Linked DNA regions of Drosophila melanogaster. The protein of the gene in region 3 interacts with the protein of the main gene of each other region in a pairwise test. Each region holds a gene or a part of one and is shown on either strand. Other genes may lie near its edges.

Region 1 (3,755 bases), about 25 Mb from region 3:
GATATGTAATCTAGTTAGAAATGTACTGCTGGCCAACCTGCAAGGGTACGAGCGAATCGGTGGGCCGAATCGAAATAAGTTATTTTATCGCCTAAAGTCTTAACCTAACTAACCTATTATAATTAACTTTTAAATGATATATATTTTGTGTAAAGTAAATATGTGCAACCAGGACGCTAAATGTAACTTTAATTCTACCAACGAAACTTACGTTGGCGGGGGTTTGGTTTTGAAGTGCTTCCGGATTAGAGTACGTCTAAACATTCATTCCTCCAGCCAGGCATGGTATTTAGCAAAGCTTAACCTTCATATTTGGGGCTTCCTGAGGTGCGAGCTGGTTGAAAGTTAAGTAGCTGGCAAAGTAAACAGGCGGTTGTAATTCTATACTGATACTGCAGACATTCGTAAATCTTAGGTATTATAATTCCGGGAAGGGATGACGTATAGATAATTAATGAGGGAGCAAGTGAAATGCAAGACTTGAGTGGAACAGCCTTCGGTTTGAATGGTTTGACTCCCTTTGACTGCCTTTTTGCCGTCCCGCCTGATTTGCATAGTTTGGGGCTGACCGTCTACTCGCTCAATAATGAATGCGTCAGTTTCAAATGGCATTACCCCCGAAAACGAAGTTGATAGTCTGCGACAAGTAGTATGTGCAATGCTATGTGGCACCATAAATAACGTGGCCATTCTAGTGTCGCATTCTGGGTCCTTTTGCTTAGCAATGACAATAGTAAAAGTGCTGAAAGGGAAGCACGATTAGAGCTATTACTTACACTGGCTATGTTTATGTTTTTATATGTACTGTATGCATTCATGGCGCAGCAATTCTGCAAAATTTCTGCATATTTGTTAGGGTGGACCTGAGTTGTACTCATGAGTACTCATACAAATCACTCATACGTAGTGTGGACCTTTTCATTTGATTTTCACAAGGAAAGGCATGTCAGTATCCAAAAGCAATATTAAGTAAAATAAATGTCCTGGTTGGGATCTTACTTTCTCCATAAAAATAAAGTCATGGGATGTTTCCGAAAGAGGAATCGTGTTAGGAATCTATGTTAGCTTGCCTAACAGGTCGTATGAGTAATTTATTAAACGCTTGGCTTTCTTGTTATATCTGATCATTAACTTGTATATAGGCTATGATTCCCCATGAAAGTCCACCCTACGGCACGTACTCCGGTACTTGCACAGGCAATCAATAAAGATTTTTTTTTGGGGAGTTCGGGTGGCGGGTGCTTTGTCGCGATGCGGCAACAACAGCTGTTGCAACGCCAGACGACCCCCCAAAAAAAGGAAAACCGAGCAGCAGCCAGACGCCGGCAACCGGGGAACCTCATCATCGTCATCGTACTCCAGCACCACCCGTTTCAAGAAGCAATCAATGCACTTCTGGCCATGTGCCAAGTTTCTCTTCCGAAAACCTGGAGAGGAGCAGAGAATCGGCCAAAAGAGAGGAGCAGCGGTGTATAAGAGCTGGTTGGGTTCCATTCGGTTGCGGTTGAAAAGCTAAAGTTAATTTAAAGTTCAACCCGTTTGGTTTCTAACTTTTCGGAACTTTAACCGTGTATTTTGGGTTTGGTTTATATAGTTTGGTACAGTAGTAAAAGATACGAAACATTTGCGTTGAAATCAATTTCAAATTGTTGTTTAATTAAGAAGCCAAGTTCCTTATTTACGTAGGTGCTCACAGTGGAATATAAGAAATAATTGTTCCTAAAATAATCCTTTGTACACGAATACAAGAACTTACTCAATAGTTTAAAATGCTTACCTATATTTTTGTAACGAAATATAATTCATTTTACATACAAATAAAAATAAACCGAATTTATTTGCATTCAGCTTGGTAAATAATAGAGTAACTGCGTGACTGCATGCGATGCAAAATTATCTTTGAAGTGCAGACTTTTCGAGTTGTGCCGCGTCACTCGTTTACCCAAGGCACCCACACTGTCGCACTCGCAGACACACACACACACGCATACCAGTGCGGCCGTGTAGCAACAACAATGTTGAGCAAGGTGCGCTGAGCCTCGCTCTTTCGAATCTTTCTCTCCGTTTCGGTTTCAGTTCACTTCTGGCTCTCGTGCAAAGCGCATCGTACAGCGGATATATCGCATCTGTATCGTATCGTAAAACGAATCGTATTCGCATCCGTGTCGGTCGCATCTGCGTGCTAGTGTGTGTGAGTGTGCCCGGGTGTGTGCGAGTTGGTGTGTCCGCTGCAATGGTCTTGGCTATTTGAAGCGCAAAAGTGCAGTATTTACTGTTTGGTGATTCACTCAATCATTAGAATACCCAAGAGATAACTATCATATCTTGGGGTTTTCCCAACGAACCGATCCGATAAAATGGAAACCCTGTAAACTCATGCTCCCCCGCCTTAAAAATCGGTTCAGTGATTTACGTGTGGGTGTGGGTGCAGTGCTTAAATTATACACGTAAAATTTAAACAAATAAAGGCTGTTAAAAAATCGTAAACTCGAGATCCAGCTAGTGCCGAATTCAGTGCTAAAGTGAAACTTCTTTGTGCAAACAACAAAAACCGTTAATTGCCAGCGCCATTCTTTTAAAGGCCCCGACTTATAAAGAGTGTTTTCAGTGCCTATATGGTTTTACTTAAGTCTTTTGTTTATCGTTGTACCCATATTGTTTTCAGTTTATCAATATATAGATAATTATCTAAATGGAGGAGCTTTGTTAATTGATATAACAAGCCTTAAGCGTTAATGTTCCCATCTCATAGGTCCAAGTCAGAAAACCAATCCCCTTTCACTTTAAACAGATCAGAATCCAAGGATTAGGTCGCTTATTCTTTTTCCAAACTAATGAACAATTAAATGGCACGGCGTTGTTGGTCGCAAAGTTTCCATTGCCCGATGCAGAGACCCAAAACCAAAATAAACGGAACCCTTTCACTTTAAAATCCACAGAACCCCAAAGATCGAAAACGAGTTTCGCAAAAGAGCAAAGAGCCGAGCGGCGGCCATGCTTATATTCCATATCGAATAACTGAATAGCCGACCAATAAAGTGTTACTTGGCACATCCAACATCCAACGTTCAACTAGCAATCCAACTTACAATATCCAGCATCCAACTAGCTCCGTTGCATTGGCCTATATTCAAAATAGATCAGAGATCGACTCGAGAGACCGGAGGAGATGTGGATGAGGTGGTGACGAGGAGCTGCGGAGGAGATCGCCATGTGAGAAGAGCAAAACTAGTTTCCCATTTGCGCGCTTATGCTAAGTAATAATAATAAATAAGCGCAGTAGTCTCTGGCTTGCCGTTCGAGAAGTGACCTAAAAATACTGGTTTCGAGTGCGGTTTTGGCGTGAGAACGTGTAGCACAGCGAAGGCACCACCACCACCACCAATGGCCACCACAGCCGCCGGATCAGCAGCCACCACCACCAACACGATGGTGGTGAAGCGGCCAGGACCACCAGTGCCGCCCAGGCCCAAAGCAGCAGCTCAGCTGGCCAATGGAGCAGGAGCCCCTCCGATCATTCAGAAGAAGCCCACCTTCGTGAGCCAGCTGAGTGCAGTGGGTCGTACCTTGGTCTACAAGTCGCCAACGGTCAATCTGCCCAAGAAACAGGCCCAGACCCAGACGCCCACCACGGCGGTGCCAACGCCGCCGGTGAAGCCCCTGAAGCTGCGCAAGGCACCGGATGTGCCCACGGCCAAGCCCAGGGATTCAATGACCTCGGTGGTCACGGTCAACCGGCATAACTCGATAAGCGT
Region 2 (3,755 bases), on a different chromosome or scaffold from region 3:
GTCCTCTCAACTCCGACCAGCGAAGGACTCGCTGTCGTTTAATTGAGCCAGACCATCGCCAGCGTACAATTTGGTGTTCTATGTGTGGAGCGCGAATTTTTTTCGCCCTTAATTGAAATACGGGATAATGACTCCAAAAAGCTTTCAGTCTAACTTGCCCTGCAACGATGGATTGCATAGATCAAACATTTGAAAGTGCAAGAAACTGGCTGGAAAACTGTACAGCAAATCGCAATTTGGTGGCCAATGTCATTTGTCAAACTATAAAATTGGGTTTTCTTAACTAATAAGCTTAAACAACTTGTAAAATAAGTTGTCACACTGATCGATTCTTTAGCTCAAAGAAAAAATAAATTTCTTTTGAATAAATATGTATTTTATAATATTAATGCCAATTAAAAAAGTACTCGCATTCAAGGTAGGTTTTCTCCAAAACATTTATTAATCTACACGAGCATTTTTATACCTATTGCTTTCCTAATATTGAAATGAAATGCTGGCAGGAAATACCATAAATATGAAATGCTATACCTTTTCATCGGTTCCTTACGACCTCTTCGCTGAAATTTTTCAATAACTCTCTGGGGATTTTATGGTCGCAATTTGCAATTTATCATCAATTTGATGTGCAAAGGGCCGAACATAAAAGTGGCTCAAATGGTAAATGTAACAAAGGGCAATAACGACGTATGTATATGGCTGCAGCAGGCGACTGACTAACCCCCAACTAGATCCATAAGCGTAAAGCTTGATTTTCTATTGATTTCTGGTCAGAAGCTCACTGCTATCACCTGAAATTCTGAGTGAAATGCACCTGCTGCTCCTACACGAAGAGAAACGTCACACTCTTTGATAGGTTAATGCCAGTACCGAATTAAGTTGCCCATACATTAAAACCTAAAATCTCTTTTTTATTGCAGTACAACAGAAATTTTGAACATTACAATTCATAGTGGTTTATTTTATGCGAATTTATTGTTGTTGCCCATTTAAAAGATTATGAAAATATTTTATTTTATATATTTATCATGTAATGTATTCATGTACTACAATTTTCTCCAAGTATTCCTGAGTTAACTCTTCAGCAGAATAGCAAAAACTATAGCATACTTATGGGCCGCTTTGAGAGTTGCCATAAGACGCTTAATAACTGTGAGTAGTGCCCAGCAGGGGCGTGTATGAGGAGGGCACATGGCAAGGACATGGGCGTCGAATTGAGGGTACTCCGTCCGATGTACGTGCCAATGGCCGTAGTCGCAGTAATAAACACACGCACAGCCCAGTTAACACAGAAATATGCCCCAAGTGTCAGGGCGGGCAAAACATGCGATGATGAGTGGGGAAAGTAGAGAGGAAATGCGGGGGGGGGGAGCCCAAGGAAATGGGAAATGGATTTTCAGTGGCCTTTGTAATTGTTGTTTTTTGTATTATTCTTGTTTTTCTTTTGTTTTTTTTATAATTACTGCGATAGAGCTGGTTTTTGTGTGTAAGTGTGTTGCTGTGGTAAGCACACATAACGGTAATTTAATTAACATACATAAACACTCACACCGGCACACATAAGGAGAATGTGGCACACAAAGAAAGGTGAAAGGTTGGCGGAGGGGGTTTTACTTCTTTGGGCACTTACGAATCGGTTTCACAAACTTTTCGACCCTTTGTAATCGATTTCGAAATGGGGGTCTAACACGGTTTTAATTAAGATATTTATACTTTCGAAAAGCACTTGACAATTTTTGATTATTTTCAATATACTATTTTAATTCTTGATTTGATCAACAAGCGCACACTAATTTCGGCTATACTTTTTATATATTTATAATTTTGTAAATTTTTTTTTATGATTTAACTATATATCTTTGGAGGTGTGTGTTTACAGGTTCCTTTTTGATTTTATTGTGTTGGCATTTTGCTGCTTTGCCGCCGGATGTTGCACGTTGCGCCAGCACTTCCGCTTTGCGACCGAACCAACCGTCGAGAAACGCGTTCCGCAAGCGAATAAACAAACGGACTTCCACCGCACACATTTGTCGCACTTCCATGGCCAGTGTTGCCGTGCTGCACGTCCTGCGCACTGCGCACGACGCGAGAAGAGAGAGTTTCCCTCTCCCGCTGCTCTCTTCGAAATGCAACCTGCTGACGGAACATCTGTGTTTTTGTTATTATGCTTTTGTCAGGGCAACAGCAACAACTGTAGCATTCAATTGCAATTGTGGCAACCGAACATCCATGTATTTCAATTACACTCACTCGTATGTCGGGGTCACCGAAAATAACTGCCGACTAATTGATGGCGCACAAACGATTTAGGAGCACATTTTGATTGATTATTGCGAACTTTACATATGCATAAGTATGAACGTATACGTCCAGTAATTAATCTGAGTTGTCATAGGAACAAGATATAGATATCAAATATTTAACGAATTGCTATTGTCTAAGATGGTCGTATTCATCAGAAATATATCTGAAATATACATATATCAATATGTGTAATAATATAGACAGGTAATTTCTTCTAGCCAACTATATTGGTATTGAAGTTTAGAAGTGGGTTATTGCAATGATTTTTATTTTTAATATTGGCTTTATGCCTGTGAAAATAATCAAAAATTGGTAATAATGTCAATTTAAAGGAACCCGGTTTTTTCGAAGCACAAATATGTGGCTTGGACAGCTCAAGTACAGCGCCTTTTTTGCAGGACGATTTCCACACAATTGCAGGATTTTGTGCCTCGTCGACGACGCTGCTTAATGTCAAGGTTTTTTGGCTGCTGTTGCAAGTGCAGCAGCAGCAGGAAAAACAGGAAAACCAGAAACGGCCGAATGAGAACGGCACGTGGCCAGCCCCCGCAACGAAAAGGGGCCAGAAAGGGGGTCGATTATGCCATTACCAGGGCAAAGCTGCACCTTCCGCCCCCGGAACCCCCAACCCCCTGCCAGTGCGCCGCGCATGAATGCCGCGACAGACCCGATTCGAAAGCCAATGTCAAGTGCACGCGGCACAAGGATATGGAGGCAGGAGTATATTACAGGCCGCCATCTGCCCCACTGTCAGTTCCCCTTCCTCAGTGCCCACAGCAGCTACAGTGGAGCTTCTATAAATTGACATTGGGCTTTCATCAATATTGAACTCTTCGATATGGACTGGCTTATGAAGACTCGTTTATAATAACACATAAATCCTATTTTCATATACGGCTTAAGTTTGACATACACAGGCTCGACTGTACCTCATCATCGAGCATTAGGACGGTCGTTGTTGTGACCTCCAAATTGGTTGGCACACTCACCTAAATGGGAGTTTATCTATATTTTATGTGCACGACTTATACCTCAGGCCCATTTCACTTGATCACCAATTAGTGACTATATGCTCAATATTTGCCAATATCAAACATCAGGTGCTTCGTCAATTAACTTGTTAATTAGATAGGAAATAGATTCTGTGGTTATAATTGTTTTTGTACCGTATTATAATTGTTACTACTTATTGTAGACGAATTTACATTAATCGATATCCATCCAAATTAGTCTGCGAATTCATTAGTTCAACAAACTACTCAAGGATGATGAACTTTTACTAAAACTAATTCCGTTCATCGGCTTTAAATAAAATAAATCAACTGTTTCATAATAGTAATTAATAAGTCATATTAGTCATATAAATAATAAGGGTCCACACACAAAATTGAATACAAGATAAAACGCTCTTCTCATTTGATATTTATTCAAATTATTATTTAATGTAAGTT
Region 3 (3,755 bases):
CACCTGCTCCGACCCGGAAACGGTATCTGAAGCTAGGCCAGCACGTTGGGAGGTCGGCGATTTCAGCTGCACTACCGTGCCAGCGAGTACGGCCTCCAACAGGTCAAGAAAGAACTGCTGAAGATCCTCCAGTTCGTCCTCCGTGCGCGATGTCTGGCCCTCCTTCGTTAGCATCAAACCAAATGCATTGCCCGGCTGCTGGCACTCCATATCAGGAAAAATAAAGGCTCCGTACTCTGTTTGGTAGCAGTTTGTGATCGAGGGAACCAGGGGGTAAAGCCAAATCCCTGCAGTCCCCTCATTTGGCATGGAGCACTGAATGAAGTAGATGCCACTGAGGTACTTCCATTTGCCACCCACGGTGCACATTACCAATGACATAGTTGACGAGCCGCTTATGGTGGTTACTGATCCACTGGCTTCGATTCGGTACATTTTGACCTGTGCACGGAAGAGCTCATCGAGCAAGACTTTGGCGTCCCGAACAGCCAAGAGCTCCCGCAAGCCGGCAGCGAGCTCTCTGTAGGTTTTTGGTGCTCCGCTAGCATTGGCTATGCCATATTGCGTGGAGGGGTTTTCCGCCAGCAACGGCGGCCTTTTTGTATCCATCTCTGCTCGACTTTCCTCCGTGGCCTCCACGGCTGAATCATCAATGGATTGTTTCTGGGATCGCAGAACTTTGAGGCGGTATCTCAATTCCGTTTCGGCGCTCTTGAGCTTTTGGATCAGCGCACAGGCGTCGTTCCACTCCGCCTGCACGGTGTCGATCTTGTTGGGAAGACCTACTGGAATGCCGAAGGTGTCCTCTATCATACGCAGGGCCAGCTCATAGGCCACAATGGCCTGGCCGGGGGATTCCTGCTCCTCGTGACTTACGGCCAGGTCCACCTGAGTCATGGCCGCTTTGTAGGCTGTTCTGATGCCAGCATAGGCCTCCAGGAATTCGCTTTCCTCCTCCGCCATCGCGGCCTTTAATACCTAAGAAACAGCACAGAAACATTAGATACTATACAAAAAACCAAAGCCCTCAAAACTTTAGTATGTAGAACTAAGAATCTATTAAAGTCAATGACTATGGTTATTTATGGTTTAGTTAGTATACATGTTCTATGTGCTGTCTTTATTCTTATGAATCCCCCTTTCGCAAAGTTCTGTGTAAGTCTTATAGTGCAAATTACTACATATTTTGTTAATATTCGTGAGATTTAAGATATTGTAAACGAACTTGCTGGCAGAGATACATCCCGACGAGGCGGGCAACCGCGACCAACTAAAAGGGTGACCAAAATGCGTCACCAAAGTGGGAATGACGCGCTTTTACATCTTCTCCTGCAGCTGCTCTAAATTGAACTGTGGCCAACGAAACCGCATCCGCCCTTCCGCTGCACTCACCGTCTACCTGTTGCACTCACTCACCTTTGGGTTTTGGTTTCGTCTGATTCTGAGCGTTTAATCTGCACTTTGCCCACCAAGTCACCTAATGATTTAGAAAGCAAACAGAGAAACGCTCTCTTTCGCTATTTTCTCACTAATTTTACGAATTATTTTCTGCTCCTGTTTAGTCGCACACCTTTAAAGTGAGAATATCGTTTGCCTAATATCACTTAAATTCGTAAATAACATGTTAAAATGTGTGTTTTCCATTCGAGTTGAATGTTCCAAGTTTTTCCATCTTTGTTTTGATTTGCTTACTTTCCATTGCGAATCAGATCAGCTGTTTAGGAGGCCTCTGCATGTTCACTGCCACAGACAGAGTTGCCACAACGACTTTTGAAAAGTCTTTTGCGGGAATCGAATTTGAAATTGAATGAATGGTTAATAATAAAAAGCAATACTAAAACATAAGCTCGTGGCAATTAAAATATCGATTTACTTGTTATTTATTTCGTTTTTATCATGTTTAAAATACAATAAATGTTATTCCTTTAAATATATTTGTCGATCCTGGTTTGAATGCACAAAATTATATTTCGTTCGATTCGGACAACGTTTACATCCTGTTTTCCCCGCAGGGAGAGGCGGCCGTTAGGGCCGTATATACACACATATGTATTAAACATATGAAAATTTGAGTAACGAAAATATTCTATTGGAATTTGGGTGTGATTGGGATGGCATTTGGATCGCATCCATACAACATATCAAATTCTAACGAGGCAGACTTTTGTCTTCGGGAGAAGAGTTTTGATTAAAATCACAATATGTATAGAATTATATACCCGGATAACTCTATTGTACACATAAATGTATATCTGTATAAATGGATATCTATGTGTTAAACATATACTTCAAAATTTCGGTAAGATGAAAAATAATGATAACGAGTAGCTGAAGCATCCATCGTTCCTTTCTTGGCTTGGTCGACATGAATGGACTTGGTCTGAAGAGGATTGGGATTGCGATATCTTAGGCGGGAGCCACGTTTGCCAGCTCCCGGTAGGCATCCTGCAGCGCCTGCTGCTGTTCCGGGCTCAAGGTGCTGGCACAAGCAGCCATTACCTCCGGATTCGATTCCACTTGTTTGACGATAGTGAGCATACGAGTGCCGGTGGCGGACTGCGCCTCAACCACCTTGGTGCAGAAGGATTCAGCGATGATGGAGACAATGCGCGGCAGATTGCCGTTGTTTGCCCCAAGAATGACCGGATGGTTGCCTTCAATCAAGTCGCATAGGTAGCCATAGATGTGGGCGGCTTCTTCCGAATCCTCGGACACCGGCAGCCATGAGAACCAAACACCGATCAGCTCGTCCACGTTGCTCAGCGCCGAGTTGTTGTACTTGAGGATCTTAGCAAACGCCGAGATCGCATTCTCTGTCGGACTGATGTTCTCGATTTCGCGGGCTTTGGGATCGTTGATGACCTGCACCAGCAGTGGAATGATCTGGGCGCATGTATGCGCAAACTGCTCACCAGCGAATTGGCCGAGCACCCCGCATCCGTAGGCAGCCGCCTGGCGCACTTCTGGGGCCTTATCGCACACGTACTGGACGAGGGCTGGCGTAAAGATCTGCTGGTATGGAGCACAAGCGGGGCCACAAAATTCTGTAGGTAAATGAGAATACAAGTCTTTAGTTTTATGGTGGCACAAATGATTTGATGTTTGAAGGTATCGGCGGTACTATTGAACTGCAAAACTCAATTAAGAAAACCAACTCACCGATCAGATCATCGAACACGCATAAGCCCCACTGCCGATCAGCTACAGGTCGGCTGGGCTCCAGTAGCTTGACAAAGTGCGGAGCCACCTGTTCAAAGGCGGGTAAGAACTGAGCCTTGTTGGTCTGGAAAAGGGCGTGTGTAATGTCCACGATTTTGGAAAGGATGTAAACATCTGTGTCGTCCTGCTCGGCCAGCTCCTCCTCCACACCGTCGTCGTAGTCTTCCTCATTGCGAGCCGCCAAACGCTTGTCAGCACGCTCGAAATGCTCCAGAACATACTTGTTTATAATCTCGAGAACTTGTTTCATGGCATCCTCGTTAAGGCAATTCGGACCCAATGTCTCAATGCATTTTGCCAGCGAATTCAGCAGCTCCGACTGCACGTCTGGCTCCGGTTCCGTGACGATTACCTTGAGCAGCTCCGGACAAATGAACATCCACATGCCCTCCAGATACTGTGGACCCTTAATTTTTGCGCAGTCGAGAAGGTAAGGCAGCGACTCAGCAGCAGCTGTGCGGACACCGTCGTGGAAGTAGAACTTAAGCATGGGCAGCATTTGACGCACCACGTCCTCAGCGTATTCGGCAAATCCT

What was found.
Region 1: the proteins of spartin (region 3) and CG31038 interact in a two-hybrid assay, tested with the Drosophila melanogaster proteins (one large-scale study listed by BioGRID).
Region 2: the proteins of spartin (region 3) and CG33144 interact in a two-hybrid assay, tested with the Drosophila melanogaster proteins (one large-scale study listed by BioGRID).

Annotation. Positions count from the first base shown.
Region 1 is NT_033777.3:29,874,988-29,878,742, forward strand, and holds the start of CG31038 (uncharacterized protein), read left to right. Parts: upstream 1-2,071; 5' UTR 2,072-2,128; exon of another isoform or gene 2,129-2,939; 5' UTR 2,940-3,384; coding exon 3,385-3,755.
Region 2 is NT_033778.4:10,796,710-10,800,464, forward strand, and holds the start of CG33144 (uncharacterized protein), read right to left. Parts: upstream 2,001-3,755; 5' UTR 1,631-2,000; intron 1-1,630.
Region 3 is NT_033777.3:4,652,741-4,656,495, reverse strand, and holds the start of spartin (spartin), read right to left. Parts: upstream 1,697-3,755; 5' UTR 1,417-1,696; intron 1,338-1,416; exon of another isoform or gene 1,226-1,337; intron 979-1,225; 5' UTR 964-978; coding exon 1-963. Other genes in the region: Karybeta3 (karyopherin beta 3), read right to left, coding at 2,407-3,044, 3,160-3,755. UniProt on the Drosophila melanogaster protein: During postembryonic development, functions with endocytic adapter Eps-15 in neurons to restrain synaptic growth, by inhibiting BMP signaling, and to control synaptic endocytosis. Required presynaptically for neuromuscular junction (NMJ) neurotransmission.